Linked DNA regions of Pelodiscus sinensis. The protein of the gene in region 1 purifies or fractionates together with the protein of each later gene. This does not show direct contact. Links are inferred from orthologs where the notes say so. Each region holds a gene or a part of one and is shown on either strand. Other genes may lie near its edges.

The links. The genes of interacting proteins can lie anywhere in the genome.
Region 2: the proteins of CDK2 (region 1) and SAMHD1 purify together in Homo sapiens (affinity purification with mass spectrometry; 3 studies listed by BioGRID and IntAct, counting the BioPlex papers as one, with this or other methods). This does not show direct contact. The link is inferred for Pelodiscus sinensis from reciprocal best matches to the Homo sapiens genes CDK2 and SAMHD1.
Region 3: the proteins of CDK2 (region 1) and PRDX6 purify together in Homo sapiens (affinity purification with mass spectrometry; 3 studies listed by BioGRID, with this or other methods). This does not show direct contact. The link is inferred for Pelodiscus sinensis from reciprocal best matches to the Homo sapiens genes CDK2 and PRDX6.

What each region holds. Positions count from the first base shown.
Region 1 is NC_134729.1:4,331,991-4,342,241, forward strand, and holds the start of CDK2 (cyclin-dependent kinase 2), read right to left. Parts: upstream 5,173-10,251; 5' UTR 5,037-5,172; coding exon 4,921-5,036; intron 2,678-4,920; coding exon 2,600-2,677; intron 2,291-2,599; coding exon 2,170-2,290; intron 2,078-2,169; coding exon 1,907-2,077; intron 1,287-1,906; coding exon 1,185-1,286; intron 1-1,184. Other genes in the region: melanocyte protein PMEL, read left to right, coding at 9,867-9,930. UniProt on the Homo sapiens protein: Serine/threonine-protein kinase involved in the control of the cell cycle; essential for meiosis, but dispensable for mitosis. Phosphorylates CABLES1, CTNNB1, CDK2AP2, ERCC6, NBN, USP37, p53/TP53, NPM1, CDK7, RB1, BRCA2, MYC, NPAT, EZH2.
Region 2 is NC_134728.1:32,935,263-32,945,818, forward strand, and holds the start of SAMHD1 (deoxynucleoside triphosphate triphosphohydrolase SAMHD1), read left to right. Parts: upstream 1-6,421; 5' UTR 6,422-6,467; coding exon 6,468-6,693; intron 6,694-8,698; coding exon 8,699-8,765; intron 8,766-10,556.
Region 3 is NC_134719.1:64,644,818-64,655,013, reverse strand, and holds the start of PRDX6 (peroxiredoxin-6), read right to left. Parts: upstream 4,136-10,196; 5' UTR 4,068-4,135; coding exon 3,976-4,067; intron 1-3,975. Other genes in the region: TADA1 (transcriptional adapter 1), read left to right, coding at 4,356-4,429, 5,394-5,485, 5,925-5,990, 9,062-9,159. UniProt on the Homo sapiens protein: Thiol-specific peroxidase that catalyzes the reduction of hydrogen peroxide and organic hydroperoxides to water and alcohols, respectively. Can reduce H(2)O(2) and short chain organic, fatty acid, and phospholipid hydroperoxides.

The DNA.
Region 1 (10,251 bases):
CAAACAAGATCTTGGCACAGCCCCCCCAGGGCGCTAAGCTGCGAGGGGGGGGCTTTCCCGTTACAGCAGCATGGCCAGCGCCTCCCACCCTCCTCTCTTCCCCGGGGAGCGATCGGAGGGCTGGGGACAGTCTCTGGCAGGGGCAGGGAGATGAACCGCCCAAGCCCGTGTGATTAGCCACTGCAACGGACTCCCCAAGGAAGTGGAGGAGCCGTGTTTCTTGATGTCTCCAGATCCAGGGCAGCTGCTTTCCAAGGCAGCTTTGGCCACACCCCAGTAACCGGGCTCAGCGCAGAAGGGAGTGGGGGGGGAGAGAGGAGTCAATAGCTTGTGCTCCTCAGCAGATCCCCCTCTCCCGCTGCAGCACAGCCTCCACCCAGAGGGGGTGGGGACGGCCTGGGCACAAAGGGTTAAGACCAGCTGGCTCCGGTGGCCTGCCCCCTGGCCCACCCCATGACACAGACACCGGCCCAGGCACTCCACATGACAACGCTGCCGTGACAACCCCTTCCCCTGGGGCAGGGGAAATACCAGGCAGGGCACCCCCCGGAGAACGCAACAGAGCCCTTTTATTTCCCGATTCCCGCTCGGCGGGTCAGCACCCCTCTCTGGGGCCGGGGCAGCGTCACCGAGCACATCCTGGAGCTGCCCCGGGCGGAAGAAGCGAGGCCCATCTGACACCATCAGCAGCTCGGGCAGCATGCGGGGGGCCCTTGATCAGAGCCCATCAGGCGAGGATCTGCCCCCGTCCTGCGTTCGCAAGCTTAACGCTGCCTCTCCTGCCCAGGGGAGACGAAGCAGGGAGGCGTGCGTGCCACGCACCAGGCGAGACCTGCCACTGCGAGGGTCCTGGGGCCCGGCGGTGGTTGGGTGCAAGAGGCAGGACGGTGCAACTCATCCTGATCGAACGTAACTCAGCCCCCGTCCCCAGCGCGTGGCAGGACGCGCTACAAACAGAGGGGAGCAGCATCAAGCAAGACCCCCCCCCCATCTCACAGTTGCCTGTCGCTCACCAGCACGCACACGGCTGTCAGGAGGGGCAGGATCAGGCTCTCAACATAGGAGTCATGCTCGTTTGGCTCCTCCACCCAATGGGGGAGCAGCACCTGGCCCCCAGGTCCCTCCCTTTCTGCAGGTCAAGAAGAACCACGTGTGTGCACGGGAGGGACAGGGGGAGGACATACCATCTCGGCAAAGATGCAGCCCAGGCTCCAGATATCCACAGCCGTTGAGTAGTACTTGCAGCCGAGCAGGATTTCAGGGGCCCTGTACCAGAGAGTCACCACCTGGTGAAGGGGAGGAAAGGGGAGATCCTTGTTAATTGTGACAGGGGCATCGATCCCCCTTTCCGCTCCACGGACCCCAGAGGGCTTTACTCACAATCGGAAGACGCCATAACCCCCATTCGGCAAATGGGGAAACCAAGGCACGGGACAGGCCGCTCACCCAAGGAGAAAGCGAATTTCTGGGGGAGTGGGGAACAGAACCCAGGAGTCTGAGCTCCCGGCCTTGTGCTGTAACCGTTACACACTCCAACCCCGGCAGGACTCCGACCCCGGAACAAAGTGGCAGGGCGAGAGGTCCTGGACCTGGGAGCCTGGTGCATGCCCAAGGGAAGCAGCCAGATCTCTCCTGCTCCCTAGGCCCTGTGGTGGCATGGCTGCCAGGTTCAGCCCTGGGGGAACCAGCATGGGCCGGCCATGATCACCCAGTCCCATCACATACATGCCGCAGGAGGCGGGATCAGCCAGCCGTTCTCAGCAGGAGTGGGGGGTCCTGGTGCAGGGAGGACAGGGATACTCCGCCCCATCAAGAGGCACCTACCCCAGAGAGGTGGCCCCCATCTCACTGCCTAGCCCCCGGATCCCAGCAGATGGGTGGAGGGGAGAGGAGCCCTCCAATGCACCTCGTGGGTGTAGGTCCGCACTGGCACGCCGAATGCCCGCGCCAGCCCGAAGTCCGCCAGCTTGATGGCTCCCTCGGCATTGATGAGCAGGTTCTGGGGCTTGAGGTCGCGGTGCAGCACCCGGTGGGAGTGGCAGAAGGCCAGGCCCTGCAGTAGCTGGAAGAGGTAACTCTGCAGCAGGAGGCAGACAGGGCTGGAGGTCAGAGGAGAACTGGGCTCGCGGGGGTAGGGGGTGTGAGCAGCGTGCCGGCCAGGCTGGTTACCTTGATGAGGGGCAGAGGGATGCCGCTGACGGAGGACGAGTCCATGAATTTCTTCAGGTCCTGGTGCAGGAACTCGAAGACCAGGTAGAGCTTGTTCTCGGTGTGGATCACGTCCAGCAGCCTGGTGAGAGGAAGGAGAAGACGTCACGGCTTCTGCCCTGATTAGAGGGCTGGGGGCATTCGCACTCTGTGCCCCATGCCCCTCTCGGCCTCTGCTGGGGCTGCCAACCATGGAAGTGGGCAGCACCAGCGTGACAAGCTTGCGTGCTGGGGAGCCGGGCCAAGACCAGCCATGTCTCACAGATGACGGCCACATGAAAGTCACGGATCTGGGTGCTCCCTCCCCCCCCTCCCGGGGGGATGAGGGCTCTGGATCCCAGCAGCCCAGCCACCCTCCTGAGATGTCAATAACACGCCCTCCCCCACTTACTTGACGATGTTGGTGTGGTTCAGCTCCTTGAGCAGGGAGATCTCCCGGATGGCCGTGCTGGGGACACCCTCCGTCTCTCTGCAGTGGGGGGGGAAGCCATGAGGAGCCTGACAAGCTCCATTCTGGGGCTCCATTCGGCCCCGCTCTAGTGACCTCACACCAGGCAGCCTAACGACTCTGTCCCAGCTCAGACCTGCCCTGCAGCCCACACAAGTGCCAACTGAGGGCAGCAGTGACAAGCCAAAAGCCCTTTACCCCGATGTACCACCATGGAAACTCAGCCACCTCTGGGGTAGAAGCAACAGCGAAGAGAGGGGGCAGCTTAGGACACAGGGAAGCAACTTCTGCTCCCCCTCGGGATCCTTAACATCGGTCCAGAGCCAACAAGGCCCTGCTTGGACTCCTGCCCCAATCACATCTGGACCAAACCAGCTGTCTGGGTCGGAACCTGGGAGCCCAGGGCTCTCCAAAGGCACTGCCCTGAGCGCTGCCCATCCACTCCCAGAAAGAAACTGACGTGCTCACGCCAGGGGCCAGAGCACCAGCTGCTGGACAGGGCACCAGCTGCAACATGCAGCAGAGCAGCCCTGGCCTGGGATACAGCCAGGCCCAACCCCATTGACCGAACAACGGCCAGTGACAGAGCATCTGCCACAACCCTTGGGCGCTCGTTCCAGTGGCGAATGACCCTCGTTGTTACAAACGTGGGCTTTATTTCCCAGACCAACTCGACCTCCAACTTCCTGCCACTGCATCTCTTAGACCTTTGTCCGCAAGACTGACAAGGCAGTGGCCAAATTCTGATTCCCCAGGTAGGGGCTCTTAGACCAAGGGCAGTCAAGGCCCAGGCTCCAGGGAACCCTTTTTCACACAGCGATGTATTGAGAGAGTTTGAGAGTCTGTCTGTTCAAGGACTCCTCCTAAATGCTGAGAGCTAGGACCACCAAGGTCAGTAGGCAGCTTCCTCTTATCATAACTTAAAGCCAGGTCAGGGGTTGTGCCAGGGAAATGGGATGTGTCTGGAATGGGACTGCTTCTCAGAAAACCGTACAAAAAAGTCAGCCACCAGGCAGGGGAAAGGGGTTGCCCCCCATGGGACTGCCCCAGCCCTGAGCCTCTCGCCTCCCACCCCCCAGGTACCCTTTAGGAAGGGAACTCCCCCCCCCCACACAATTCGTACGGGAACATTGCTGGCTGTTCCTCTTCATCAGGTAGCAAGGGGAAAATGCACCATTTGCTGCATTCCTCACTCTGGCTAGGGGGCGCAGGGGGCAGACAAACCTGGATCTGCCCCGGACGAGGGACAAGCACAATAATTAGGACCTGAGCAGCACCAGGTAAGTCTTCCAGCAATAAATAACGAATAAGTAAAGACAAAGATTTTGTGGCCTATTCAGAAACACCTGGTGGCCTGGACTTGGCTCGCGGTCCAACCTGTTGACTAGGCCGGTGACTGCTTACCCTGCTCCTTGTGAGGCTAAACGCTCGGACCTCCCTGAGTCTGTCCCTCCAAGGCGGGTTTTCCAATCCATTCATCATGCCCCTGGCATCTCCGAACCTCACCAAGAGACCCACACCCCTTGTAGGGTGGACACCAGCCCCAGATTCAGACTTAATTCTGAGAATGGCTGTTAAGCACAGCTACAGGCAAAGCCTAAGGAGTGTGGGTCTGAGTCTCTCCCCCCCGCCCCGTGACCTTTGTCAGGGCACCAGTGAAGAGTATGGGGCAGAACTCCCCCACTCACCAGAAATGGGGCTGTAGAAATGGTGGAGGGATGCAATTCCTGCTGCACCCATCACCCCACGGGTTCAGCTGGGTGGACTTAGCCCAGGGAGAACAGGAGCTGGGAATTGCTGGGAAGCCTCCAGCGCTCCCATGGAGAGGGTATGGGGTGCCCCCCCCCCAACACCAGCAGGGCTGGAACAAGTTTTATGGGGGGGGGGGGCGCTGAGAACCTCTGACCCCAACTGTAACGCCTGGATATAACGGAAACCACTTTAAGTGGGGGGGGGGAGCGCTGCAGCAGCCCCGCACCCCTACTTGTAACGCCCATGCCCAGTCCTAGTGCTCAGACCGCCCCACCTTGGCTGCACGTGGACTCAAGCCAAGTGCCCACTGACAGCCCGTCCCGCAAGGACCGGGGGGGGGGGGGGCTTTCTCCGCCAGATCTGCAGGCCCCGGGGCACCGCACTTCCCCCGGGGCGGTGTCCTGCAGAAGGCCCCGAGCCGGCCGGGGAGGTGCCGACTCCTCCCCCCAAAGCTGGAGCTACCCCATGAACGGGTGGGGGGGGGTACGGCCCCTTCGCGGGGGGGGACTCACGTATCCAGGCGGATCTTCTTCAGCGCCACCACCTCGCCCGTGGCTTTGTTCTTGGCCTTGTAGACAACCCCGTAGGTGCCCTCGCCGATCTTCTCCACCTTCTGGAAGTTCTCCATGGGGCCGGCCCCGGATCGGGCCCGGGTGCCGGGGATCGGGCCCGGCAGCGCGTTCCGCGTCCCCCGGCGGTTACCAGCCCACCCCCCAACTGGCTACAATGTAACCCCCGGCCCGGCTGCTTCCCGCGTTCCACTCGCCCCGCCCCACCCGCCGCGCCATTGGCTGGCGCCCGGAGGGAGGGGAGGAGCGCGCTGGAGGCGACGCGGGAGTCTCCTTAAAGGGACAGGCCCGGAGGCAGGAGCAGCCCTCCCCGCTTGTAGGGGCGGCCGGAGCCAGGGTGCCCCTAAGCCCTAGGACCCCCCCATGGGTGTCAGTGAGGGAGCCAGGCCAAAGGCTGCTCCCAGCTCCGTGTATTATTGGGGTGATTTCCCCAGTTCCCCTGCTGGATTCCTTGAGCCCCCTGAGCTGTGTCTAGGGGGATGCACCCTGTGCCCCTCCCCTAAGGAGACTCCCCCATTATTTAACTCCATGTGCCCCCCCTCCCAGGGGACTTGTCCTCTCTCCTGTCCCTCCTGCAGAGGCTCTGGCTGGGTCTCTATGAAGGGGACTCCAAGGGTTGGATTCCCATCGATTCCTTTATTATTTCAGTTCACGTGCCCCGGCTCGGGACCCTGTTTCTACACTGCCTAGGAAGCCAGGGCTGGGTTCTGCCCTGAGGACCTCGCTGGGAACCAGGACTTTCAGCTTCCTTTGAAACCACTATGAGCCAGCTCCTGAAAAGCATGGAGGCTCCAAGCTTCCTTGGAGGTTCTGCACCCACGGCCTCCTCTGCAGTGGGATTTTCAACCCTAGCAGCCAGCCAGCCACGTGACCCCCTTGCCTGGCCTGCCAGAGCCGTACTGAGCAGGGCAGCACGACAAAGCTGTGCCGCTGGTTGGTGAGATGCTCCTGACTTGAGCAGGGCCTAGAAGCACCTGCTCTGGGAACTTCAATCGGGCAGACAAAAGAGCCGGCCGTGGGAGGCCGCGGAGTTCCTGGGGAACTTGTTTTGTCCTACACTTTGTGAGCCTGCGTGCTATTCGGAGTGATGAGCTCATGTGTGTCTTGGTGATACGCTGCGCTTGCTGCCTGCCGGGGCTCAGCTCCTGAACGGGCACCCAGGGGGTTGCTGGTGTGAGGCAGGTTTATTGTTTGAATGGGCTCTCTTCATTTCCCTGAGCCCAGGGTCTCCTCACCAAAGGGTTCCAGGTTCACCAGTTCCAGGTGCCTGCCCAGCTCTCCCCCTCTGTGCAGTACACGCTCCGAGAAAGTCCATCATTATGGAGCTATGCACGAACCCTGGTTATCTCAAATGGAAATTCCTGACCACTTCAGTCCAAACACAGGGGTTTAGGTAAACAATCAAACCCACGTATTAACTACAGGAAGATCGATTTGAAGTGATGACAAAGGAATAAGGCATGAAAGTCAGAATTGGTTACAAAGAAATAAATGATAAAACACAAACTAATACTTTACTTAGTTAGGTGAACTAAGAGCAGCTGGATTTCTGTCACCATATTTTAACAGCAGTCTGGCTGGATTCCTTCCACCAGGACCCCTCTCCAGTTCACCGACACTTCCTTTGTCTTTGAAATATTGTTGAAACCCCCAGTACAGATGAAGAGAAAGATGTGATCGGGGTGGGGCCTCTGTTCCCCATTTTCCTCCTCTTTGAGAATCATCCCCAGCTGGGGTTCAAGTGTCAGCCAGCCTGTTCCTCTGTCAAGCCGTGAATTTCTTGTTCGCACCCTTCTTGCTAAAGAAGGGCTGCCTAACCAGGGAACAGTCCAGTTGGTTTTGCTGACTCCTGGCAGAAGCATCAGTTTGCCTTTTACTTACTGAAGAATTTATTTGTGCTTCTTCCCCGATTGGAAATACACCCGTAGTAACATCATCCAATGGAATCTTATAACTTTACATACAATGTGGCCACACCTATTTTAACAGGACAATAATGATCAGTGAATTATGGATTTTCAGATGATCACTCACAAGGCATATTTTGCACAAAATTTGTCAAGGGCTAATAAAAGTGGTAAACATAAGGGCACAAGGGAAACATGGGTTTATTAAACAGGATTTTGCTGATATGTCTAGTGTTTGGGGGGGAAGCGATGCAGCAATCACTTTCTTAGCAGGCTAATATCCTGAACACATGGGCCCAGATCTGCAAAGGAATTTAGGCACTTAACTCCCATTAAAATCATTGGAAGTTTGGCTTCTAAATTCCAATAACTCCTGGGAATTCTCTCTCCCAGTTTGTTCCTTTTATTTAAGGGACACAGACAGAGTGAGAATGATACATCTAGAAAACAAATTCCCTCCCCGGTGCTACTAATATCCTTTGCACCGCACATAATTAACGTGCGGAACTCACTGCTGCATGGTCTTGCCACAGCCAAGAGCTTACTGGGCTTCAGAACAGGATTTGGCATTCGTTCTGCTGCCCCTTTTGCTGAGCAGTAGCAGATTCTGGGGCCTTCCAGGTCAGTTTCTGGTCTGGAGCAGCCATGGGTGATGCTGTCAGGTATCTCCTTAGTGTGGCTTGTCTGTTTATGATGGGTACAAAGTTCCGGTTCCTTTGAACCGAGGTGGGAGCAGGCAGCAGCTTCCTGTGCAAACAGGGTGACAGCACATGCAGCTGTGCCTCTCATGCAGCTGTCTCCTGTGCCTTGCTTCAGGGAACCACAGAAAATCCCACAACAGCTTGATGCCACTGTTCCCAACTCCTCCTTTGGGGGCCATTCGCCACGCCCCAGCTCCCTGCGGTGCTGCCAGCTCTACTCATGGTGCTCTGTATGGGAGGAAAATAGGCTAGTCAACGTCCCGTTAGCCCCTTGTCAATTACTGGATCGCCCCAGGTTGCAATGAGCAATGCCATTTTGATTGGAACGTAGTGATTCACAGCAATCGCTCTAAGCCAGGCCTGTCCTGAACAAAACCTGGAAAATCAGGGGTCCCTTGATTTACATGCCCTTGTTCTACTACTGGCACCCCACAGAGCCAGGTAATCCAGCTTGTCTTTCCTTCCCATTCACAAGCTAACCGAGCACGCAGGAGTTGCACCGGTTTCATATACAGTGGTTTGAGAGTGGATTTAGTAACACCAGCCACCTCCCCCTCCCACTCCGTATGCATCTCAGTTAGTGATTTACTACACGGTCGATCAGCGTAGCTCACATCTACAAACACAGACACATGCTAAACCACTAGAAGGTGGCAGAGGGGTAGCCATGTTAGTCTTTAATATTAAAAACAATGAATAATCCTGTGGCACCTTAGGGTGTGTCTACACTGCACCCATACCTTGAAAGGGCATAATTTATTTCGAGGTAATTTCAAAATAGCTTATTTTGAAATTTGGCACCAACTACAGATCGCCAAATTTTGAAATAAAGCGTTACTCCGACAAGTCCCTTAACCCTCGTGGAATGAGAATAGCATGACCGTTATTTCGAAATAACGGGCGCGTTTAAAGACTCAGAATAGCTATTTTGGGACACTTCCAGTATCCCGAAATAGCGCCAATGTCTAGACATGGCCTTAGAGATTAACAAAATATACATAGTTTCATTAGCTTTTGTGGGCAAAACCCACTTCATCAGATGAGCTGGAGAGGGATAACAGAAACTCAGAATTCATAAGTTCTAGTGTTCTATGATTCTATAACAGAAAAAAAAAGGAAACACTTTATAAGGTGGGTTTAAATCCAGTTTCAAGAGTGTCCACAGACAAAGTTGCATGGGTTTAATTGGACTGGCTTTAAATCACCCCTTAAATTAATCAGGTGAAGTCTGTATGTTCACCGGGTCTAAGTCACTCGTGTTATAGAATGTTCCACTGGAAGGCATCTCCAATTTGATCAAACTAGTTAGCTTTTTTGCTCCACTCCTGCTGTCGGAAGGCTGTCTCGGGCCATCAAGGAGCTACATGTGACCTGCAAACACTGGATAGGACCTATGGTGGAGGAATCTACCTATCCGGTCTCTGCTATTTCAGGTGGAAAAGCAGGAAGTTGACAACTATGGAATTGGCTGCTCACAAAAGACATTTCTGCCTTGCCCCTACGAACAAGAGACTGGATCATGTTGAGAGCCCTGTGGGTTTATGGGTCTGATCCAACCCCCGCTGAAGTCAATGGAAAGTTTCCTTCGTGTGCCTACTTGGTCTATTTCAATTGTAAACTCTTTTGGGGGTGTGTGTGTGGCAGCTGTCTCTTGTACAGCATCTGGTACAGTGGGGCCCTGTTCTCAGCCGGGCTAACATCATACATACAACCGGACTGTATACCCATCCGCTTCTTTCTTTGTTTACAGCTGCTAAGTGCTTGGTTTCAGTATCTTGCAGCAGTGAGCTCCCTTGGTCAGTTTTCCGTGTGCTGCACCTCTCCTGTCTCCTGCCTGGGGAGAGGGTGGCTAGAAGCTCCGGCCTGCCAAGTGCTAAGTGGCACCTGCTTTGCTCAGCATCGAAGTGGCTTGTCCTTTCGCCCCCCAACCCAGCAGTGAGGTCGTATCATGGGTTCTGCGTCCCTCCTGCAGCTCCGTGGTAATTAGGCCCTTTCTTCTCAGAGCGGAAACCGGCCTCTGTTCTTCCCCACTGAAATTCCAGGGTCTGTCTGGAAGGCACAACTCATGCGGCCCCATTGTGCTCGAAACACAAACTTGTGACTGGCCATCACCCACACACCCCACTGCTGGAGGGAGGGGGGATGAGATTTTCATGAGGTCATGCCAGGAAAGGGGCGGGGCTAGGCAAATGAGGCCTCCTTCTTATACAGGGTGGCCGGGGTGCTTGGCTTCTTTCTGCCTTCGCGGAGGGGTCCCAGGGAGCGCGGGGCAGGTTGGGAGATGCAGACAAGCTGGTACTTGGTGGCAGCCTGGGCGCTTCTGGCTGCGGCGACAGCTCAGCACAGTGAGTAGGGTCCTGATCCTTGGGCTTGGGGGGTGGGGGGCTGGGTTCTGTAGGGTCCCATCTGACCCACCCCCAGCCAATTCAGGGTCAATCCCTGTTGCAAAACACTGGGGCTGCTGCCAACAACCCCCCAGCATCTCCACTAAAGTCCAGGGGCTTCTCATCAGCCTGCGGGGGGGGCACATTTCTCGGGGGGGGGTAGATGATTTTGGATGCAGTGATGCTAAAATGTGAAAGTCCTGTTCCAGGAGGGAACCAAATTGCTATAAAGTTGCCACAGAGCAATGGGGGGGGGGGGGGCGAGTGGGAATATCACATAGA
Region 2 (10,556 bases), on another chromosome or scaffold:
AAATAGGATGAAGCTTAATAAGGACAAATGCAAAGTACTCCACTTAGGGAGGAACAATCTGTTTCACACATACAGAATGAGAAGCAAAATGCAGGACAATGTAGCACTTTAAAGACTAACAAGATGGTTTATTAGATGATGAGCTTTCGTGGGCCAGACCCACTTCCTCAGATCAAATAGTGGAAGAAAGTAGTCACAACCATATATACCAAAGGATACAATAAAAAAAAATGAACAACTATGAAAAGGACAAATCACATTGCAGAACAGGAGGGGAATGCAGGGCGGGGGGGAGGAAGGAAGGTAAGTGTCTGTGAATTGATGATATTAGAGGTAAGGAGAGTGGGATGTTTGTGAGTTAATGGTATTACAGGTGATAATTGGGGAAACTATCTTGGTAATGGGTGAGATAGTTCAAATGTTTGTTAAGTCCTTGTTGGAAAGTGTCGAATTTTAACATGAATGACAGTTCAGAGGATTCCCTTTCAAGTGCAGATGTAAAAGGTCTTTGTAGCAGAATGCAGGTGGTTAAGTCATTGAGAGAGTGTCCTTTCTGGTTAAAATGGCAAGAAACTGTTTTCTCTTTGTGATCTTGTCTGATATCTGTTTTGTGGGCATTGATCCTTTGGCGAAGTGTCTGAGATGTTTGTCCAATGTACATAGCAGACGGACACTTTCAGCACATGATAGCATAGATTATATTTCTGGATGCGCAGGAATATGTGTTCTTGATCTTATAACTCACTTGGTTAGGTCCAATAATGGTATCAGCAGAATGAATATGTGGACAAAGCTGGCAACGGGGTTTGTTGCAAGGGAAAGTACCAGGGTTGGTATTAGTGTGGTATGTCCTGTGGTGGTTGGTAAGAATCATCTTGAGGTTAGGTGGTTGTCTATAGGAGACTATGGGTCTGTCTCCCAGAGCCTCTTGGAGTATGGTATCCTGTTCCAGTATAGGCTGTAGTTGGGGGGTCAGTGACTGAGGTATTGGTTGGGGTGTCGGTGATGGGGTGTCGGTAGGGGGGTCAGTGACTGAGGTATTGGTTGGGGTGTCGGTGACGGGGTGTCGGTTGGGGGGTCAGTGACTGAGGTATTGGTTGGGGTGTCGGTGACGGGGGTGTCGGTTGGGGGGTCAGTGACTGAGGTATTGGTTGGGGTGTCGGTGACGGGGTGTCGGTTGGGGGGGTCAGTGACTGAGGTATTGGTTGGGGTGTCGGTGACGGGGTGTCGGTTGGGGGGTCAGTGACTGAGGTATTGGTTGGGGTGTCGGTGACGGGGGTGTCGGTTGGGGGGGGTCAGTGACTGAGGTATTGGTTGGGGTGTCGGTGACGGGGTGTCGGTTGGGGGGGTCAGTGACTGAGGTATTGGTTGGGGTGTCGGTGACGGGGTGTCGGTTGGGGGGGTCAGTGACTGAGATATTGGTTGGGGTGTCGGTGACGGGGTGTCGGTTGGGGGGGTCAGTGACTGATGTATTGGTTGGGGTGTCGGTGACGGGGTATCGGTTGGGGGGGTCAGTGACTGAGGTATTGGTGGGGTGTCGGTGACGGGGTGTCGGTTGGGGGGGGTCAGTGACTGAGGTATTGGTTGGGGTGTCGGTGACGGGGTGTCGGTAGGGGGGTCAGTGACTGAGGTATTGGTGGGGTGTCGGTGACGGGGTGTCGGTTGGGGGGGTCAGTGACTGAGGTATTGGTTGGGGTGTCGGTGACGGGGTGTCGGTTGGGGGGTCAGTGACTGAGGTATTGGTTGGGGTGTCGGTGACGGGGGTGTCGGTTGGGGGGGCAGTGACTGAGGTATTGGTTGGGGTGTCGGTGACGGGGGTGTCGGTTGGGGGGGTCAGTGACTGAGGTATTGGTTGGGGTGTCGGTGACGGGGTGTCGGTTGGGGGGGTCAGTGACTGAGGTATTGGTTGGGGTGTCGGTGACGGGGTGTCGGTTGGGGGGGTCAGTGACTGAGATATTGGTTGGGGTGTCGGTGACGGGGTGTCGGTTGGGGGGGTCAGTGACTGATGTATTGGTTGGGGTGTCGGTGACGGGGTATCGGTTGGGGGGGTCAGTGACTGAGGTATTGGTGGGGTGTCGGTGACGGGGTGTCGGTTGGGGGGGGTCAGTGACTGAAGTATTGGTTGGGGTGTCGGTGACGGGGTGTCGGTAGGGGGGTCAGTGACTGAGGTATTGGTGGGGTGTCGGTGACGGGGTGTCGGTTGGGGGGGTCAGTGACTGAGGTATTGGTTGGGGTGTCGGTGACGGGGTGTCGGTTGGGGGGTCAGTGACTGAGGTATTGGTTGGGGTGTCGGTGACGGGGTGTCGGTTGGGGGGGGCAGTGACTGAGGTATTGGTTGGGGTGTCGGTGACGGGGTGTCGGTAGGGGGGTCAGTGACTGAGGTATTGGTTGGGGTGTCGGTGAGGGGGTGTCGGTTGGGGGGTGTCAGTGACTGAGGTATTGGTTGGGGTGTCGGTGACGGGGTGTCGGTAGGGGGGTCAGTGACTGAGGTATTGGTTGGGGTGTCGGTGACGGGGTGTCGGTTGGGGGGGGTCAGTGACTGAGGTATTGGTTGGGGATTCGGTGACGGGGTGTCGGTAGGGGGGTCAGTGACTGAGGTATTGGTGGGGTGTCGGTGACGGGGTGTCGGTAGGGGGGTCAGTGACTGAGGTATTGGTTGGGGTGTCGGTGACGGGGGTGTCGGTTGGGGGGGTCAGTGACTGAGGTATTGGTTGGGGTGTCGGTGACGGGGTGTCGGTTGGGGGGTCAGTGACTGAGGTATTGGTTGGGGTGTCGGTGACGGGGGTGTCGGTTGGGGGGGCAGTGACTGAGGTATTGGTTGGGGTGTCGGTGACGGGGTGTCAGTTGGGGGGGTCAGTGACTGAGGTATTGGTTGGGGTGTCGGTGACGGGGTGTCGGTTGGGGGGGGCAGTGACTGAGGTATTGGTTGGGGTGTCGGTGACGGGGGTGTCGGTAGGGGGGTCAGTGACTGAGGTATTGGTTGGGGTGTCGGTGACGGGGTGTCGGTAGGGGGGTCAGTGACTGAGGTATTGCTTGGGGTGTCGGTGAGGGGGTGTCGGTTGGGGGGGGTCAGTGACTGAGGTATTGGTTGGAGTGTCGGTGACGGGGTGTCGGTTGGGGGGGTCAGTGACTGAGGTATTGGTTGGGGTGTCGGTGACGGGGTGTCGGTTGGGGGGGGTCAGTGACTGAGGTATTGGTTGGGGTGTCGGTGACGGGGTGTCGGTTGGGGGGTCAGTGACTGAGGTATTGGTTGGGGTGTCGGTGACGGGGTGTCGGTTGGGGGGGCAGTGACTGAGGTATTGGTTGGGATGTCGGTGACGGGGTGTCGGTTGGGGGGGTCAGTGACTGAGGTATTGGTTGGGGTGTCGGTGACGGGGTGTCGGTTGGGGGGGTCAGTGACTGAGGTATTGGTTGGGGTGTCGGTGACGGGGTGTCGGTTGGGGGGTCCGTGACTGAGGTATTGGTTGGCGTGTCGGTGACGGGGTGTCGGTTGGGGGGTCAGTGACTGAGGTATTGGTTGGGGTGTCGGTGACGGGGGTGTCGGTGGGGGGGGCAGTGACTGAGGTATTGGTTGGGGTGTCGGTGACGGGGTGTCGGTTGGGGGGTCAGTGACTGAGGTATTGGTTGGGGTGTCGGTGACGGGGTGTCGGTTGGGGGGGGCAGTGACTGAGGTATTGGTTGGGGTGTCGGTGACGGGGTGTCGGTTGGGGGGGGCAGTGACTGAGGTATTGGTTGGGGTGTCGGTGACGGGGGTGTCGGTAGGGGGGTCAGTGACTGAGGTATTGGTTGGGGTGTCGGTGACGGGGTGTCGGTTGGGGGGGTCAGTGACTGAGGTATTGGTTGGAGTGTCGGTGACGGGGTGTCGGTTGGGGGGGGTCAGTGACTGAGGTATTGGTTGGGGTGTCGGTGACGGGGTGTCGGTTGGGGGGGCAGTGACTGAGGTATTGGTTGGGATGTCGGTGACGGGGTGTCGGTTGGGGGGGTCAGTGACTGAGGTATTGGTTGGGGTGTCGGTGACGGGGTGTCGGTTGGGGGGGTCAGTGACTGAGGTATTGGTTGGGGTGTCGGTGACGGGGTGTCAGTTGGGGGGTCAGTGACTGAGGTATTGGTTGGGGTGTCGGTGACGGGGTGTCGGTTGGGGGTCCGTGACTGAGGTATTGGTTGGCGTGTCGGTGACGGGGTGTCGGTTGGGGGGTCAGTGACTGAGGTATTGGTTGGGGTGTCGGTGACGGGGGTGTCGGTGGGGGGGGCAGTGACTGAGGTATTGGTTGGGGTGTCGGTGACGGGGTGTCGGTTGGGGGGTCAGTGACTGAGGTATTGGTTGGGGTGTCGGTGACGGGGTGTCGGTTGGGGGGGTCAGTGACTGAGGTATTGGTTGGGGTGTCGGTTGGGGGGTCAGTGACTGAGGTATTGGTTGGGGTGTCGGTGACGGGGTGTCGGTTGGGGGGTCAGTGACTGAGGTATTGGTTGGGGTGTCGGTGACGGGGTGTCGGTTGGGGGGTCAGTGACTGAGGTATTGGTTGGGGTGTCGGTGACGGGGTGTCGGTTGGGGGGTCAGTGACTGAGGTATTGGTTGGGGTGTCGGTTGGGGGGGTCAGTGACTGAGGTATTGGTTGGGTGTCGGTGACGGGGTGTCGGTAGGGGGGTCAGTGACTGAGGTATTGGTTGGGGTGTCGGTGACGGGGTGTCGGTTGGGGGGGTCAGTGACTGAGGTATTGGTTGGGGTGTCGGTGACGGGGTGTCGGTTGGGGGGGTCAGTGACTGAGGTATTGGTTGGGGTGTCGGTGACGGGGTGTCAGTTGGGGGGTCAGTGACTGAGGTATTGGTTGGGGTGTCGGTGACGGGGTGTCGGTTGGGGGGTCCGTGACTGAGGTATTGGTTGGCGTGTCGGTGACGGGGTGTCGGTTGGGGGGTCAGTGACTGAGGTATTGGTTGGGGTGTCGGTGACGGGGGTGTCGGTGGGGGGGGCAGTGACTGAGGTATTGGTTGGGGTGTCGGTGACGGGGTGTCGGTTGGGGGGTCAGTGACTGAGGTATTGGTTGGGGTGTCGGTGACGGGGTGTCGGTTGGGGGGGGCAGTGACTGAGGTATTGGTTGGGGTGTCGGTGACGGGGTGTCGGTTGGGGGGGGCAGTGACTGAGGTATTGGTTGGGGTGTCGGTGACGGGGGTGTCGGTAGGGGGGTCAGTGACTGAGGTATTGGTTGGGGTGTCGGTGACGGGGTGTCGGTTGGGGGGGTCAGTGACTGAGGTATTGGTTGGAGTGTCGGTGACGGGGTGTCGGTTGGGGGGGGTCAGTGACTGAGGTATTGGTTGGGGTGTCGGTGACGGGGTGTCGGTTGGGGGGTCAGTGACTGAGGTATTGGTTGGGGTGTCGGTGACGGGGTGTCGGTTGGGGGGGCAGTGACTGAGGTATTGGTTGGGATGTCGGTGACGGGGTGTCGGTTGGGGGGGTCAGTGACTGAGGTATTGGTTGGGGTGTCGGTGACGGGGTGTCGGTTGGGGGGGTCAGTGACTGAGGTATTGGTTGGGGTGTCGGTGACGGGGTGTCAGTTGGGGGGTCAGTGACTGAGGTATTGGTTGGGGTGTCGGTGACGGGGTGTCGGTTGGGGGTCCGTGACTGAGGTATTGGTTGGCGTGTCGGTGACGGGGTGTCGGTTGGGGGGTCAGTGACTGAGGTATTGGTTGGGGTGTCGGTGACGGGGGTGTCGGTGGGGGGGGCAGTGACTGAGGTATTGGTTGGGGTGTCGGTGACGGGGTGTCGGTTGGGGGGTCAGTGACTGAGGTATTGGTTGGGGTGTCGGTGACGGGGTGTCGGTTGGGGGGGTCAGTGACTGAGGTATTGGTTGGGGTGTCGGTTGGGGGGTCAGTGACTGAGGTATTGGTTGGGGTGTCGGTGACGGGGTGTCGGTTGGGGGGTCAGTGACTGAGGTATTGGTTGGGGTGTCGGTGACGGGGTGTCGGTTGGGGGGTCAGTGACTGAGGTATTGGTTGGGGTGTCGGTGACGGGGTGTCGGTTGGGGGGTCAGTGACTGAGGTATTGGTTGGGGTGTCGGTGACGGGGTGTCGGTTGGGGGGTCAGTGACTGAGGTATTGGTTGGGGTGTCGGTTGGGGGGGTCAGTGACTGAGGTATTGGTTGGGTGTCGGTGACGGGGTGTCGGTTGGGGGGGTCAGTGACTGAGGTATTGGTTGGGGTGTCGGTGACGGGGTGTCGGTTGGGGGGTCAGTGACTGAGGTATTGGTTGGGGTGTCGGTGACGGGGTGTCGGTTGGGGGGGGGGAGTCAGTGACTTTCCCGCCTTCCGAAGGCAGCGGCGGCTCCGGCCGCCTTGCCCCGCCCCCGCGCTGAGACAGGCGGAAGCCGCGGCCACTGAGCGGGGCGGGTGTGGGCGGAGCCAGCGGGGCCCGCCCCCGGCCGGCCTGGTGGGCACGAGCGAGCGCGCCTGCGCGGCGGCGGTGGAGCCGGGTCGATGCTGAGCCGGAGCCAGAGCGAGGCCGGGGCGGGCGGCGTCGCCAAGCGGGCGCGGCCCGGCAGCCCCCCCGATGGGCTCCGCACCCCCGAGAAGCGGGCCCCGGCCTGGGCCCCCCCCGCGCTCCCGCCCGGGCCCCCCCCGCGCCGCTGGGACACCGAGCAGGTCTGCGACTTCCTCTGCCGCAGCGGCTTCGGCGAGCCCGGCCTGCTGCGCCGCGTGCGAGGTACCGGGGTCTGCGAGCCGGGGCGAGCTCCTCCGGGGGGGCTGCCCGCCCCGCCGCCGCGCTGGGGGGAGGAGCCGCGGGCGAGCGCCGGGCTGGGCTCTGCGCCCCCCCCCCCCCGGGCATGCCGCCTGCTCCCCCCCCGGCTCCCTGCTCCCTCCGGGCATGCCCCGGCTCCCTGCGGCCCCCCCCGGCTCCCTGCAGCCCCCCCCCCGGGCATGCCGCCTGCTCCCCCCCGGCTCCCTGCGGCCCCCCCCGGCTCCCTGCAGCCCCCCCCCCGGGCATGCCGCCTCCTCCCCGGCTCCCTGCGCCTCCCCCCCCCCCGGGCATGCCGCCTGCTCCCCCCCCGGCTCCCTGCGGCCCCCCCCGGCTCCCTGCAGCCCCCCCCCCGGGCATGCCGCCTCCTCCCCGGCTCCCTGCGCCTCCCCCCCCCCCCCCCGGGCATGCCGCCTCCTCCCCGGCTCCCTGCGCCTCCCCCCCCCCCCCCCGGGCATGCCGCCTGCTCCCCCCCGGCTCCCTGCAGCCCCCTCCTCCGGGCATGCCGCCTGCTCCCCCCCCCCCCGTCCTGCAGAGGCAGCGGCTTCCCGGGGCAGGGGAGCCCATAGCATGGGTCAGGGGGACTCTTGTGCAGTTCGGATCCGCACTGGCGTGCAGCCGGGGGCACTAGACTTGCCACTGGCCCGGGCCGAGTCCGCACCCCGCCGTTGGAAGGCGCAGGAGCGCTCTGGAGTATGAACGGGGGAGTGCGGAAGTGCCCGTGACTAGTGGGTGGACGTGCCATTGACCGCTCAACTAGTCAATTAACATCCTGAGTCTGCAGAGCTCCCGCTCACCCGCTTCATTTCCTTTGCCTCCTCAGGATCTAATTCCTCTCCAAGAAACATGTTGCATTAAAACAGGGGTGTCCAAACTTTTTTCAAAGAGGGCCAGATTTGATGAAGTAAACATGCGTGAGGGCCGACCATTTTGCCTGACATTCTTTGAACCATTAAAATTAAACACAAATTAACTATCTTATGCAAAGTTTATTGCAAACAGTATACTTTTCATTTCGTCACATGGATGACAAATCTTAACAGGTGTTAAATCACTCTGCCTTTCATATCTGAAGGCCAGATGGGAAAAAAATCCAAGAAGCTGAAATGTCAGGAACATTGTAAAGTACATTACATATTATTGGTAATAAAGGTTGTCTGTCAACTTTGAAGTTAAAAAAAATATGAACAGGAACATAACACCAAGTATACATGTTGTGTCCAAATAGATTTATAACTGATTTAGACCAACTGACATTAACTGAGATTTTACAATGTATTCATCTCAATACATATGGATTCGTTGGGGGCCGTAAAAGATAGATATTGCCAAATTACCTGTGGGGCCATATTAAACCGGAACACAGGCCGCAATTGGCCCGCGGGCCGGACTTTGGACATGCCTGCATTAAAACAACCAATATACAATGAGTGGTTGGGGGGGCAGTTGAGGAAAGGTGATAGTTAATTACATATTTTTGGAAAGCAAAAACAATATATGTACAGGGTGTTTTTTGTTTGCCCACTTAAATCAGTAGTGGGCAAAGTATGGCCTGTTGAACCCTTCAATCTGCCCCCCAAGCTCCTCTAGGCAGGCTGGGTCAGAGCTGCCTTGGAAGGAGGTGCCAAACCGACTATTGGGCAGTGCAGCAAGCTTGTGGGGGCTTATGCCTTCCCTTCTGCCACCCATCCCTCAAAGCCTCAGCTCCCCTAGTGCCTGGGCCGCATGGTTGCCACTCCACCAGCCCTGATGGTCTGGGTGGCATGGCTGCAGTTCTGGACATCTGTAGTGCTCCGGGTGGTGCAGTCACATGGTGGGAAGGAGGGGAGGTTGGATAAGGGTCTAAAATTGAAGTAAGCTAAAATGAAGTGGTAAAGATAACAGTGCTAAAATACTTCTATATGAAATATTTCAGCAACTTAAATACGTAGGGGAAAGCCTAGACATAAAAGTTATTCCTTTCACTCCTCAGAAAATCAGATAACCGGAGCAGTGTTGCCTTACCTCACTAAATCTGAACTTAAAGACTTAGGAGTTGGGTAAGAACAACTTTTACTAAATTTTTTAGAGTGGTTCCTGTGTGAGAAATTTTGGTGATTTAGTAACTTGGGACTTGCTGTTTCTTCAAGTGTCCAAGGCTTTGCCTATGTCTTAAATAAAAACAAGTCGTGAATGTGGTGGTATAAAGCAATGTTTCTCAACCTTTTTTTTTTTTTTTTTTTTTTTTTTTATAAAGTACCCCTTTTAAAAAAAAAAATTTGTAAGTACCCCCCAGTACCTACAGGTTTTCAGACACACAATTTTTTTCTACTATTGCAACACATTTGTTTAAACAGCTTAATCGTAGCCAGGCGGGCAATTACTTTTTTGGGTATAAAAAGTACAAAAATAATAAAGCACTGTAAAACTTAAAACAAAAATTCAGTTTTGTCCAAGTTACAGTTGTGTTGATGTAGCCCCCCCCCAGACTTCTCTCAAGTACCCCTAAGGGGTACTCGTACCACTGGTTGAGAAACATGGGTATAAAGGATCTGTTGGTACTGACCTTCACTGAAACTAACCAAACTTTAATAATACATCTTGGGAAAGACAAGTCGTCATCACTTGATTGACTGCAAATGTTGTCCTTGATTTCTGTGGCATGATATTTTAGTATGTTGTCTTTGTTAGCTCACCTCTTTTTTGCTATTGTGTAATTTCAGCTATTCATGTCAAGGCTGACAACCTGTTATAAGTGAAACACCTTGATATGTTTGGAGAGATGTGTGAAAGGGTGTATTTTGTAAAAAACGACTTGATCAAAAATAGGAGCTGTAATTATTTGAAAAGAGATATATAAGCCAGTTGTTTAAACAGAGCTAAAAACTGAGGATTAGGGATGTAAAATCCAGTTTAACTGGTTAACGGGTTAAATGTATTGTTTAATCAGGTCCCTGATTAAAGGGGAGGTGGGCAGGGGGTGCCGCTCCAGCCAGTTTGGGCTATAGCAAACCCCCGTGTCTCATGCAGGGGCTGCCCCTGATGGCAGAATATGTAACTTTCCGAACTATTAGAAAAGAGATGTCAAAACCATTTACAGGGAAGAGAGGTTAACTAAGCACAAGGGAGGTAACTAGAGCATAATTTGGATTGTTAATCTGTAGTTGCATATATATTATCAAGAGTTGTGGATGCTGGTGTATTTCACGTGTATGGTTCAGTGCAGAGGTGCTGCCCTGGAGAATTGGATTCTATTCCTGAACTGCCACACAGTCCCTGTGTGATGCTAATCAGTTCAGTTTAACTTTTACAGGTGGTCACGCTGCACTCATTTTCTGTGGACTGTAATTTTCAGGTTTTTTCCTTGCTCAGTTCATGGCTCCAGGCTTTATTTACTGTGTACTCTTAAATCTTAGTCTCAAGATGGAATTATTAACTTCCCAATGGGCTTTTCTCTGGTGCTTATCTCTACATTATCTGCCTTATGCGCAAATACTGATTTTCACAACACACTTCTGAGGTGAAGAGTTGGTCTTATAGAGATGGGGGCAGAGAAATTAAAGTCAAAACTGTCCACTAATTTTGAGTGTCGAACTTGAGATACTTAAGACCTGATTTTTCAGAGAACTAGGAATTAGTATGTTCAACGCTTAACTCTCAGTGACTGCAGTTTCAGTTGTGCTCAGCACTTACGCAAATCACACCCACAGGTCTAGGAATAAATGGTCAGCATTCAGAATGGAGACAAGTAAATGGCTGTGTCTGTCCGGGGTCTGTTCTGGGACCAGTCCTGTTCGACATGTTTATTCATCAGTGATCTTGAAAAAGGGGTACACAGTGAGATGGCAAAA
Region 3 (10,196 bases), on another chromosome or scaffold:
AACATGAAACCTTAGAGCCTGCTTACACAGGGCCAGAAATGACACACCCCACACTGGCTGGCTGAGGCTAGAAAGTGCTATCCTCAGATACGAGTTCAGGGCGGGTGCTGGGTGTTCCGGCAATGTGGGCTCTAGGGACGTGCGGAAGCATGTAAGTCGTTAACAGTGTAGTTGTGAAAGGAGGAACTGGCTGCTCTTTTGGGGTCTCAAGTGGCAGAGTCTGGCTGGAGGGCCAAACACTCCCTCTTCTTTGGGAACGGCTGCCTTCAGTCTGTTACGTCAGAGGGTAGCTTATTCAGAATGTTTTAAACTGGACAGGTGCAGCATGTCACAGTTTGAGGGGGAGGGGGGGGGGGTCACATTTTTCTGGCGTCTGTCCGAACAAAAGCTTTGCTTATCCCCAGGATTAAAATGACTATGAATGTAATGTGAGCTGATAGAGTAACCTGTGCTCCAGAGCTTCGCTAGACCCCAAAGTTGCAATATGCTGAATTATCCAAGCCAAAGTCTATTTAAGTGTTCTTATTTGGGGGGAGGAGGGGAAGAAGGGGGGGGGTTGCACTAGTTTAATTAGAGCCACGTTTCTCAAACCATGGGTCCCAATCCCCAGGGGGTTGCGAGCAACTTGGGGGGGGGAGGGGGTTGCAGTATCACAAAGTTTGAGCGCCCCTGAAATAGTGATGCAACTTCTCTTCAAAGACAAGTGCCTGAAATCAGCGAGGAAGACATGCATGCGTTTAAGGGTGAAGGCCAACATTTACAAGAGACCGGCATTGTTAAGTATTTCTCCACAGATGGAGCAGTGTGAAAAAGGAGCACAATCCTATTGGAAAGGGGCATTTCACTCCTGGTGCCTACCGCGGGGCTTGTGGGCAGAACACCATTTCTTGCCAGTTCAACACCTATTTATTCCCAAGCCACTGTGCCTCCTTTTTGGGGGGTAAACGTGATGTGTTTCCTTGTGTTCTTACACATACTTGGGAAAGTTCTTATTTGGGTCTTGTTTTCACCACAGATAACCTCTTTGCCTAAGAGGAAACAATCGATAACTCACTCCTGTGTGACTTTCAACATGAACAGGTAAGGGAGACGACTCCTTCCTTTGAGTAATGACAATTCCAAATGTTTTTGTGTGTAGTAGAATTTAGGGGTGTAAATCCTGCTTAACCAATTAAATGGGGGTGGGCACGGCAGGGTTAATGCAGACCCCTCCCCCAACGGGCAGTTGCTCCAGCCCACCAGTTAACCCTTCTCATCCCTAATAAAATTAGCGACGAGGAGTCCTGTGGCACCTTATAGACTAACAGATGAAATGGAGCATAAGCTTTCGTGGGCAAAGACCCACTTCCTCAGATGCATCTGATGAAGTGGGTCTTTGCCCATGAAAGCTTGTGCTACAATTCATCTGTTAGTCTCTAAGGTGCCACAGGACTCCTTGTTGCTTTTGCAGATTCAGACTAACACAGCTACCCCTCGGATACTAATAAAATTAGGTCACTAGGCCTGTGTCTACATTACAAGCTAGAGCTGTGATTCCTGACACACATACATCCTTGCACTGCAAACTGAAATTGCAGTGCAGCTGCCAGCATGGGCTGCAGTGGTGCAAATTAGCTGGGCTGAGCACAACCCCCAGAGACACCACCACGCTTCCCTGCCCACCCCGATCTCTCGGTAGACTGTGTTTTGGAAGGGTTGCTCATCAGGAGACGCTTGTAAACTTCTCTCAAGCCTGAGGCATCAGCCCTCTGGCCAGTTGAGCTTTGGAGAAAGTCCAAGTCAAGCACGGAAACCTCCTCCCCGCCCCAGCATGGTCAGTGTAACAGTGACTGAGAAGAACCGGACTCATATGCGATGTGACAAATTTACCTACCCCACAAACACAAGGAACAGGCTGTGCAGAAAGAGTGACCTGCCAGGCCCCGGGTGCTAGTGGGAAGGAGACCTCTGACTCAGAGCAAGGCTGGTCTCCACAAGAGCAGAACTGGGCGCGGGCTGTGTGGGCTTTGGGCTGGTGCTGAGGGTCCCAGTGGCAATAGCCTGAGTGAGGACCGGGCTTCCATAGCCCACCTGCAGGCGTGGCCCTTTGGGTGCAGACAAGGCCGGGGCAGGGAGGAAGAGGCAGAGAACAGGCACGGCTGGGGGGTGTTGAATCAGTAATATGGTTCTTCCATGGTTAAGTGTCCGGTACCCAGAGCCCTCCCCACCCGCCCACCTCCCCTCGGTAGCGGGGCCGCAGGTGGGGCTCCCCGTCTTCCCGGAGGCAGGTAGAAAGCGGTGTGTCCGCGCTGGGGCAAAGTCGGGCCCCAGCTACCCCGCAGTCAGCCACGGCCCTGCCCCCCACGCAGGGGGCACCCCGCCAGCGCGTCCCTCCCCTCCCAGTCCCGCAGCCCAACCTGGCCCGGTAACCCTGTGGGCGCTGTGAGAGACCGACCCCCCCCCCCCCGCCCGGTAACCCCGTGGGCGCTGAGACCAGACCCCCCCCCCCCCCGCACAGACCAACCCCCCCGCCCGGTAACCCCATGGGCGCTGTGAGAGACCAGACCCCCCCCGCACAGACCGACCCCCCCGGCTCGGTAACCCCATGGGCGCTGTGAGAGACCAGACCCCCCCCGCACAGACCGACCCCCCCGGCTCGGTAACCCCATGGGCGCTGTGAGAGACCAGACCCCCCCCGCACAGACCGACCCCCCCGGCTCGGTAACCCCATGGGCGCTGTGAGAGACCAGACCCCCCCCCGCACAGACCGACCCCCCCCCCGCCCGGTAACCCTGTGGGCGCTGTGAGAGACCAGACCCCCCCCCCGCACAGACCGACCCCCCCCCCCCCCCGCCCGGTAACCCTGTGGGTGCTGAGACCAGACCCCCCCCCCGCCCGGTAACCCCGTGGGCGCTGTGAGAGACCAGACCCCCCCCGCACAGACCGACCCCCCCGGCTCGGTAACCCTGTGGGTGCTGTGAGAGACCAGACCCCCCCCCCCGCACAGACCGACCCCCCCCCCCCCCCGCCCGGTAACCCTGTGGGTGCTGAGACCAGACCCCCCCCCCCGCCCGGTAACCCCGTGGGCGCTGTGAGAGACCAGACCCCCCCCGCACAGACCGACCCCCCCGGCTCGGTAACCCCATGGGCGCTGTGAGAGACCAGACCCCCCCCCGCACAGACCGACCCCCCCGCCCGGTAACCCCATGGGCGCTGTGAGAGACCAGCCCCCCCCCCCCGCACAGACCGACCCCCCCGCCCGGTAACCCCGTGGGCGCTGTGAGAGACCAGACCCCCCCCCCCGCACAGACCAACCCCCCCGCCCGGTAACCCTGTGGGCGCTGTGAGAGACCAGACCCCCCCCCGCACAGACCGACCCCCCCGCCCGGTAACCCTGTGGGCGCTGTGAGAGACCAGACCCCCCCCCCCCGCACAGACCGACCCCCCCGCCCGGTAACCCTGTGGGCGCTGTGAGAGACCAGACCCCCCCCCGCACAGACCGACCCCCCCGCCCGGTAACCCTGTGGGCGCTGTGAGAGACCAGACCCCCCCCCCCCGCACAGACCGACCCCCCCGCCCGGTAACCCCGTGGGCGCTGTGAGAGACCAGACCCCCCCCCCCCCGCACAGACCGACCCCCCCCGCCCGGTAACCCTGTGGGCGCTGTGAGAGACCAGACCCCCCCCGCACAGACCGACCCCCCCGCCCGGTAACCCCGTGGGCGCTGTGAGAGACCAGACCCCCCCCGCACAGACCGACCCCCCCGGCTCGGTAACCCTGTGAGAGACCAGACCCCCCCCGCACAGACCGACCCCCCCGCCCGGTAACCCTGTGGGCGCTGTGAGAGACCAGACCCCCCCCCCCCGCACAGACCGACCCCCCCGCCCGGTAACCCTGTGAGAGACCAGACCCCCCCCCCCGCACAGACCGACCCCCCCGCCCGGTAACCCTGTGGGCGCTGTGAGAGACCAGACCCCCCCCCCCCCGCCGCACTCACGAGCCGCCCAGGAACTCGTGGAAGCGCACGCGCCCGTGCGTGGTGTCCGCCTCGAAGTCGGGGGCCAGGTCTCCCAGCAGCAGCCCGGGCATGGCGGCGTCTGGGGAGCGCGCGGGCTGCGCCTCACACAGCGCCTCGGGGCGGGGCCAGGCCGGGGGCGGGGCTCGGCCTGGCCAATCGGGAGACGGGGGCGGGGCAGACGGGTCCGTTCAACGAGCAGGGCAACGCGTGATCCCCACCCCCAGCCCAGCGACGGCGGGACACCACGTGACCGGAAGAAGCGGCGCGGCCGGGCGCTGCGAAACCCAGGACTACGCAGGCGGCGGAAGTGACGCGGCACGCACGCGCACCCGTTGACGCAGAGCGGCGCGGAGGGAGCCATGGCGACCTACGTGAGCGAGCTGGAGGCGGCCAAGAAGAACCTGAGCGAGGCGCTGGGCGAGAACGTGAAGCAGTGAGTGTGGCCCGGCCCCCCCCGGCCCGCGGGCCTGCCCCCCCCTGCGCCCTCCGGCCCGCGGGTCTGCGCCCCCCGGCCCGCGGGCCTGCCCCCCCTGACCCCCCGGCCCGCGGGCCTGCGCCCCCCGGCCCGCGGGCCTGTCCCCCCTCTGCCCCCCCGGCTCGTCTCCCGCCTCGGCCCGGCCTGGGGGCAGCGCGCGGGAGCCGAGCGGCGGCGGACCCGTCATGCTCGGGGGGTGGGTAACGGGCTCCCCCCGGGCTCGCACGTGCGCACCGTGACACCGGCCTCGCGCCCCCCCCCCCCGGGGCGGGTGGCAAATCCCGGCCCGCAGGGTCCGTCTCAAGATGTGCAGAGGTCTCGCAAATCATGAGTGATGGAGAAATCGACTGGGGAGTTCAGTTACTGCTTTCTGGAACGCAAGCAGTACAGATCACCCAGTGCAATTAATGGGCACTAGGTTGAAAACAGCCATCAGGGAGCAGGACTTCACACAGTGCATAGACAGCTGGTGAGGCTCGTTGCCAGGGAATGTTGTGAAGGCCAACATTTTAACAGGGTTCATAAGAAACCACAGAAGTTCCTGGAGGATCCATTTATCCGTGGCTATTAGCCAAGGTCATCTGGGTGTCCATAAACTTCTGACTGCCAACAGTCAGGGCTGGAAGATGGGGGATGATTTACTTGAAAATTTTTCTGCTTTGTTCCCTTTGAAACATCTGGCACTAGCTGCTATTGGAAGTTAACTGTTTTTTGGCATTTACGGCTGGGTGGGAACTAGGGAGGAACGGACGTTATATTAAAACACTGCTTCATATTAGATTTTTCTGAAATATATAAAAAAAAGCTACATGTTGGACTTGAACTACATGACTGTCCATTTAAGAAATGGGAAGCAAGAAATAGCTTTAGTAGGCAAAACAGTGTTCTTTACGGGGCATAATGTTTTCTCTCCTATGCACAGATACTGGGCAAACTTGAAACTTTGGTTCAAGCAAAAGATCAGTAAAGAAGAGTTTGATCTGGAAGCTCGCAGACTCCTCACCCAAGACAATGGTAAGAGACAGTCCCCTGGGAGAGCTCCTTTTTCTCTGCATCTCAGATTTCCCCAGAATACCAAATTCTGGGTTAGTCGCTGTTTGCTACAGAACAATGCAGCCACGTGAAGTGTGACTCCACAACTCCGTCTGCTCCTCTGGAACATACTGCCTCTTGGGCCACATAGCTACTGTTGAGATGAGAATCTTCCCTTTATGGCTCCTAATTTCATATAGAGGCAAAAAAGTTTGTCTAATAAATTAACTGGGGGTGTCCTCAACCAGGGGAACAAATGGGAAAACATGGTTGTGGGAAGTGTAAACACAATCACTTGATGGGGTAGCTTTAAGTAGCTGCTTTTGGATTGTGTCTGCCATTTTGCTAATGTGAGTCTCAGTCTTCAAATACCATTTTCTCTCCTGGTATCTCTGTGAGTCAATGGTCTTTCTTTTCACAGTCCATTCTCACAATGATTTCCTCCTGGCCATTCTCACCCGGTGCCAAATCTTGGTTTCTGCACCAGGTAAGTGAACAAAAGATCATATGGCATACCTTTGGGACGCGTTTGTGGTGGGCTTTGTTTTTAAGCTATATGCTGTGACTTATGTGCTCTCAAATTGCATGCTCTCCCTTGCTATGGCTTGCGTGCCGTATGACACTGAGAACCCTGATTGCCGCTTTTAGTTACGACTGTGGAATAAATATGATCATCTTCGTTACAAAACGAGCATTTCACACGCTTAACTACAGACTAGTGCCCTGCAATTCCAAGAAGGGGACCCAGGTTTGATTTCTTGTCTCCTGTTGCTTTGGCTGTGAGTTCGACAAGGCACGGTGCTCTGTAGGGCTGAGGTTTTGCTCCATGTTCTCCAGCGATCTGTGAGAATGGCGGCAGGCTCTAAAAGAAACCGGGCCTTGTGTCAGACCAATGGGAACTGAGCCAGGGAGGGAGGCAGCACTTAGAGACATTTTTTTTCCTCCTGTCTTGCCTTCAGAATAGAGGGGAGGGTGGGAAGCAGTTGGTTGTGAAGTTTTTAATTAAAATGTCGCCAGTGACTTGAACATTCTTCTGGTAAGCCCTTGCAGCTGCTATCACATTATGTGTGGTGCTGCACCTGTTTGTGGTGTCTTGCGAGTTTCAGTGTTGCTGATATCAGAATGTATCTTGGAAGGCTGGGCCAGAAAATTAGCCAGAAGGCCTCTTAAGAGAGAGTGTTTCAAACTGCGAATTAGAGCATGAATTTGAGACTGCTATGAGGTTCAGGGACTAGTATGTTAGGGTCTTGTGCGGAGCCAGCTGTATCATTTATGCTGACTGTATAGTACACTGTAACCTGGCTAATCAGGTACCAAAATCTGTCCATGTAACCTTTGCTGCTTCTCACTTGATTTTTTTTTTTGCATTGGGTTGGCTGCAGCAAATACACTGCATGTGATTTGTTTTGTAACCAAACCTCTGAATAAATCTGGACAGCGTGTACGGCAGACTGACCATCCTTTCCAACGGGTCACGGCAGTGCCTGGGATTGGGCTGTTCTGGTTCCATTCCCAGGAGCGGCACAGCTCTGGCGGTCGGGGAGCTTGGCTCCTGGTCAGACACCTAAATGTCTGGCCAGATTTTCAGTAAGGGCTTGGAGCACTCAGCACCTCCTGCTGAGAACAATTATAATGTCACCTCCCAGGAGTGAAGTGAGGATAAATCCATAAAAAGTCGGGAGCACTTGGATCTTACAGCAATGGGTTCTGTGAAGTCCTCGTCAGACAAGGCATCACACAAAGTCTCTTTTCAATAAAAATCACACTAGAGCCGCTCACGTTGGGTTTCATGTTGGTGATTTCAGGGGAGGTTTGTGTTAGACACCTGAGAGTACTAAGCTTGTGGAAATTGCTTGTTTCAGTGTTTTTGTTCCCGGGGAGACTTCAGAAAAGTTAGCTGCCTTTTTGCTTTCCCATTCTGAGGGGCTGCCTCCTGAAGTGTTTCACTAATCCCACCTTTTATAGAGACCAAGTTCTTTTTCAGTGCTCTTGGGCTGACAAAGCCTTGGACCTGTATTCGTCTACACCTCACACTATGAATTATATCCGAGTTGGTAATCTGTTTTGATTCAAGGGCCAGTCTGACCATGTTCCATTTGTCTCCAAAGAAAGAGGGTGAGGGGGGGTGGAGAAAGGAATAAAGCAACAATGGAAAACGGAAGATGATGCTCAGAGATTCTCCTAACCCTGTGTCTGTCTTCTGGCCAAGAGACTAAAATACTGAAAAGCAAAGAAATAAGCATTTAGTACGGGTGGGTTCTTTTCTGAAACGCATCCTTGAAGGCTCATCTCTCATAATACCTGTCTTTCCCTTTCTACTCTTGCTGATGTAGAATGTGCGCTGGGAAATCTCACAAGCCTGGAGAGAAGCAGCGCTTTCCTCTTTCTCCACTTGTTGCCTTTGCTCACAAGGCTAGAAACTGGCTAGCTCCACAATGGATTGGTTCCCCCTGTTCCCCCCCAGTACCGTCTCCGCAGTGCCAGCTGGCCCCCCCCTTGCCGCTGCTGCCTCTATTGCGCCGCTGCTGTGGACATGGGCTACTGGACCCAGTGCAAGCCAGGACTAAGCAAGCCCGACCCAGTCCCGGTTCATACTGGGTCCGGGACCTACCCCCACCACTGCTCTGCAGTTGAAATATAGTAAGGGGCGGGCAGGCAGCCCAGCTCTTACATTTAAACTGCAGAGCCGCAGCAGGAGCACCTTCCCTATCAACTCATCGTGTAGTCGATACAACATACAGACGGTACAATTTGTACTTAAAAGAAGTACTCGGGATCGTTTTCAGAGGGATAAGGCAACACGCCACATTTATTGATCTCACGTAGAATAATCAATACTTATCATATGCATATGAGATATGTCACTCATGCGTGCGCGCGCGCACACACACACACACACAAGCACACTCCGTCTTGCTCTTGTTACCAACAAGTTGCTCCCCTTAACTTCACTGGCCAGGTGAGTTAGATGGGGGAGGGGTGGAGCCGGGCTTCTGCCGATCCGGATCAATGCTCCGATGGTGACAAGACGAAACCCGGGGCCCTCTGCAAGACACCTCACTTTTATAGCAGCTTCCTTCTTTTATGCAAATATATCCCAGATTCAAAATCTGGGTCTGTGTCCATTGGTCCCTTTGTGCTGCTTCTCTCGGGTGTTGTCTGTTCAGAGAGGGGGTTTTCCAAAGAAGGTGCCTGCTTCCAATCCCCAAGGCTGTCAGTATGTCTGCTCTTCTTTCTTCAGCCCACTTGACACCTTGGGTCTGGCTTCCACTCCCTCTTCAACTGGTGTAGCTGTCTGCGAAAAAAGCACAGTATAGTTCAGATAACTTCCCTCTGAAGTAATAGAATATTGCTCAGCTACATGGTGGTAGTAGGTGAGAGTGTATAGTAGAAAGGGTACGTGCATTCCAGTTGGAAAGGGTGGACGTGCTCTTCAGAGGTGTCAGAACTGTGTGGTTTCGTCTGATTTTTGAGTTGCATGAACTTAATTATATTGACTCCAAATTGGAGTGACCTCCCCCCGCCCCACACACACTTCCCCTTCTCTCCTATTTTCAGAGGGCCCTGGGCCTCTGCCATGGACAGGGGGCTCTGCGACTAAACCTGGAAAGCCCAAAGGAAAGAAGAAGTTTTCTTCAGTTCGGCAGAAGTTTGATGTAAGTTTTTATTCCGCAAAGGGTCTTGGCGCTGCTAACTGCTCCAGGTAGGAAGAGCTGGCAGCCTGTGTGCGTGTTAGCGGCTTGGCCGAGACACTTCGTTCCAGCAGAGCCTTTTGCAGTAAAGCGGTAAGTACTAAAGTGAGCGAAGGTCGCTGTTCCACATGATCGAGTTACCCAGAGTGACTTGCTGTGTGAGTGAGGCTGGCTGGGCTACCCTATGGAAGTAGAATAATGGGTAAAAATTGCTCTAGCGATTCAGACAATATTTCTTCCTCTTCCCCCAGTTTTGGCTGAGACGCTACCAGCTGCTTCTCAGTGGATTTTTTTTTCTGTGCTAAGTGAGGGTGTGAATCTGATTAATGGAGAAATGCGTATGTTTGGGGGTGGACTTAAAACTTGCTTTGTTTATTAAAAAAAAAAAAACTCTGATAAGGTGAGGTCACAGAAAACCTCCCGGGGTGCTGACTCGGCCACTGCCGCTCGCCTTCCTGCTCTCCTCACCACCCGGTCCTGCTGGGCCAGCTCCCTGGTCTCCCCCAGCCAAGGCCCGAGCTGAGATCCCTGCCCCACTGAGAAGCAGCACAGACACTGAACCTCTTCAGGTTCAAGGAGAGTGCAATATTGGGCCCAGCTTCCTGGGATCCCACTCCTCAAATGGGATCAAAGCCCCCAGTGAATTACCTGGGTAGCAATGAAAGAGAGAATGTACACGCTGGTTGCTCCTCCAGGTAACAATTATTTACACTGGGCTTGATAGAAAATAAAAGTGGTTTTATTAAATAGGAGCGGCAGGATTTGAGTGTAATAGGTGAGCACAGGCAGAGCAAAGTAGGTTACAAATCAAAAGACACAAAACCGCTTGGCCTAATTCAACACCTCTCATGCACACACTTGAAACCCACGAAGTATTCCCCACTCCATAGGTCTAATTTTACACACACACAAATGATACCTACATCAAAATAAGGTAAACAGATCCAGCGGCTCATGCCGCGAAGATCGATGGGTTACATGAAATAATTTGCTCAAAGCAC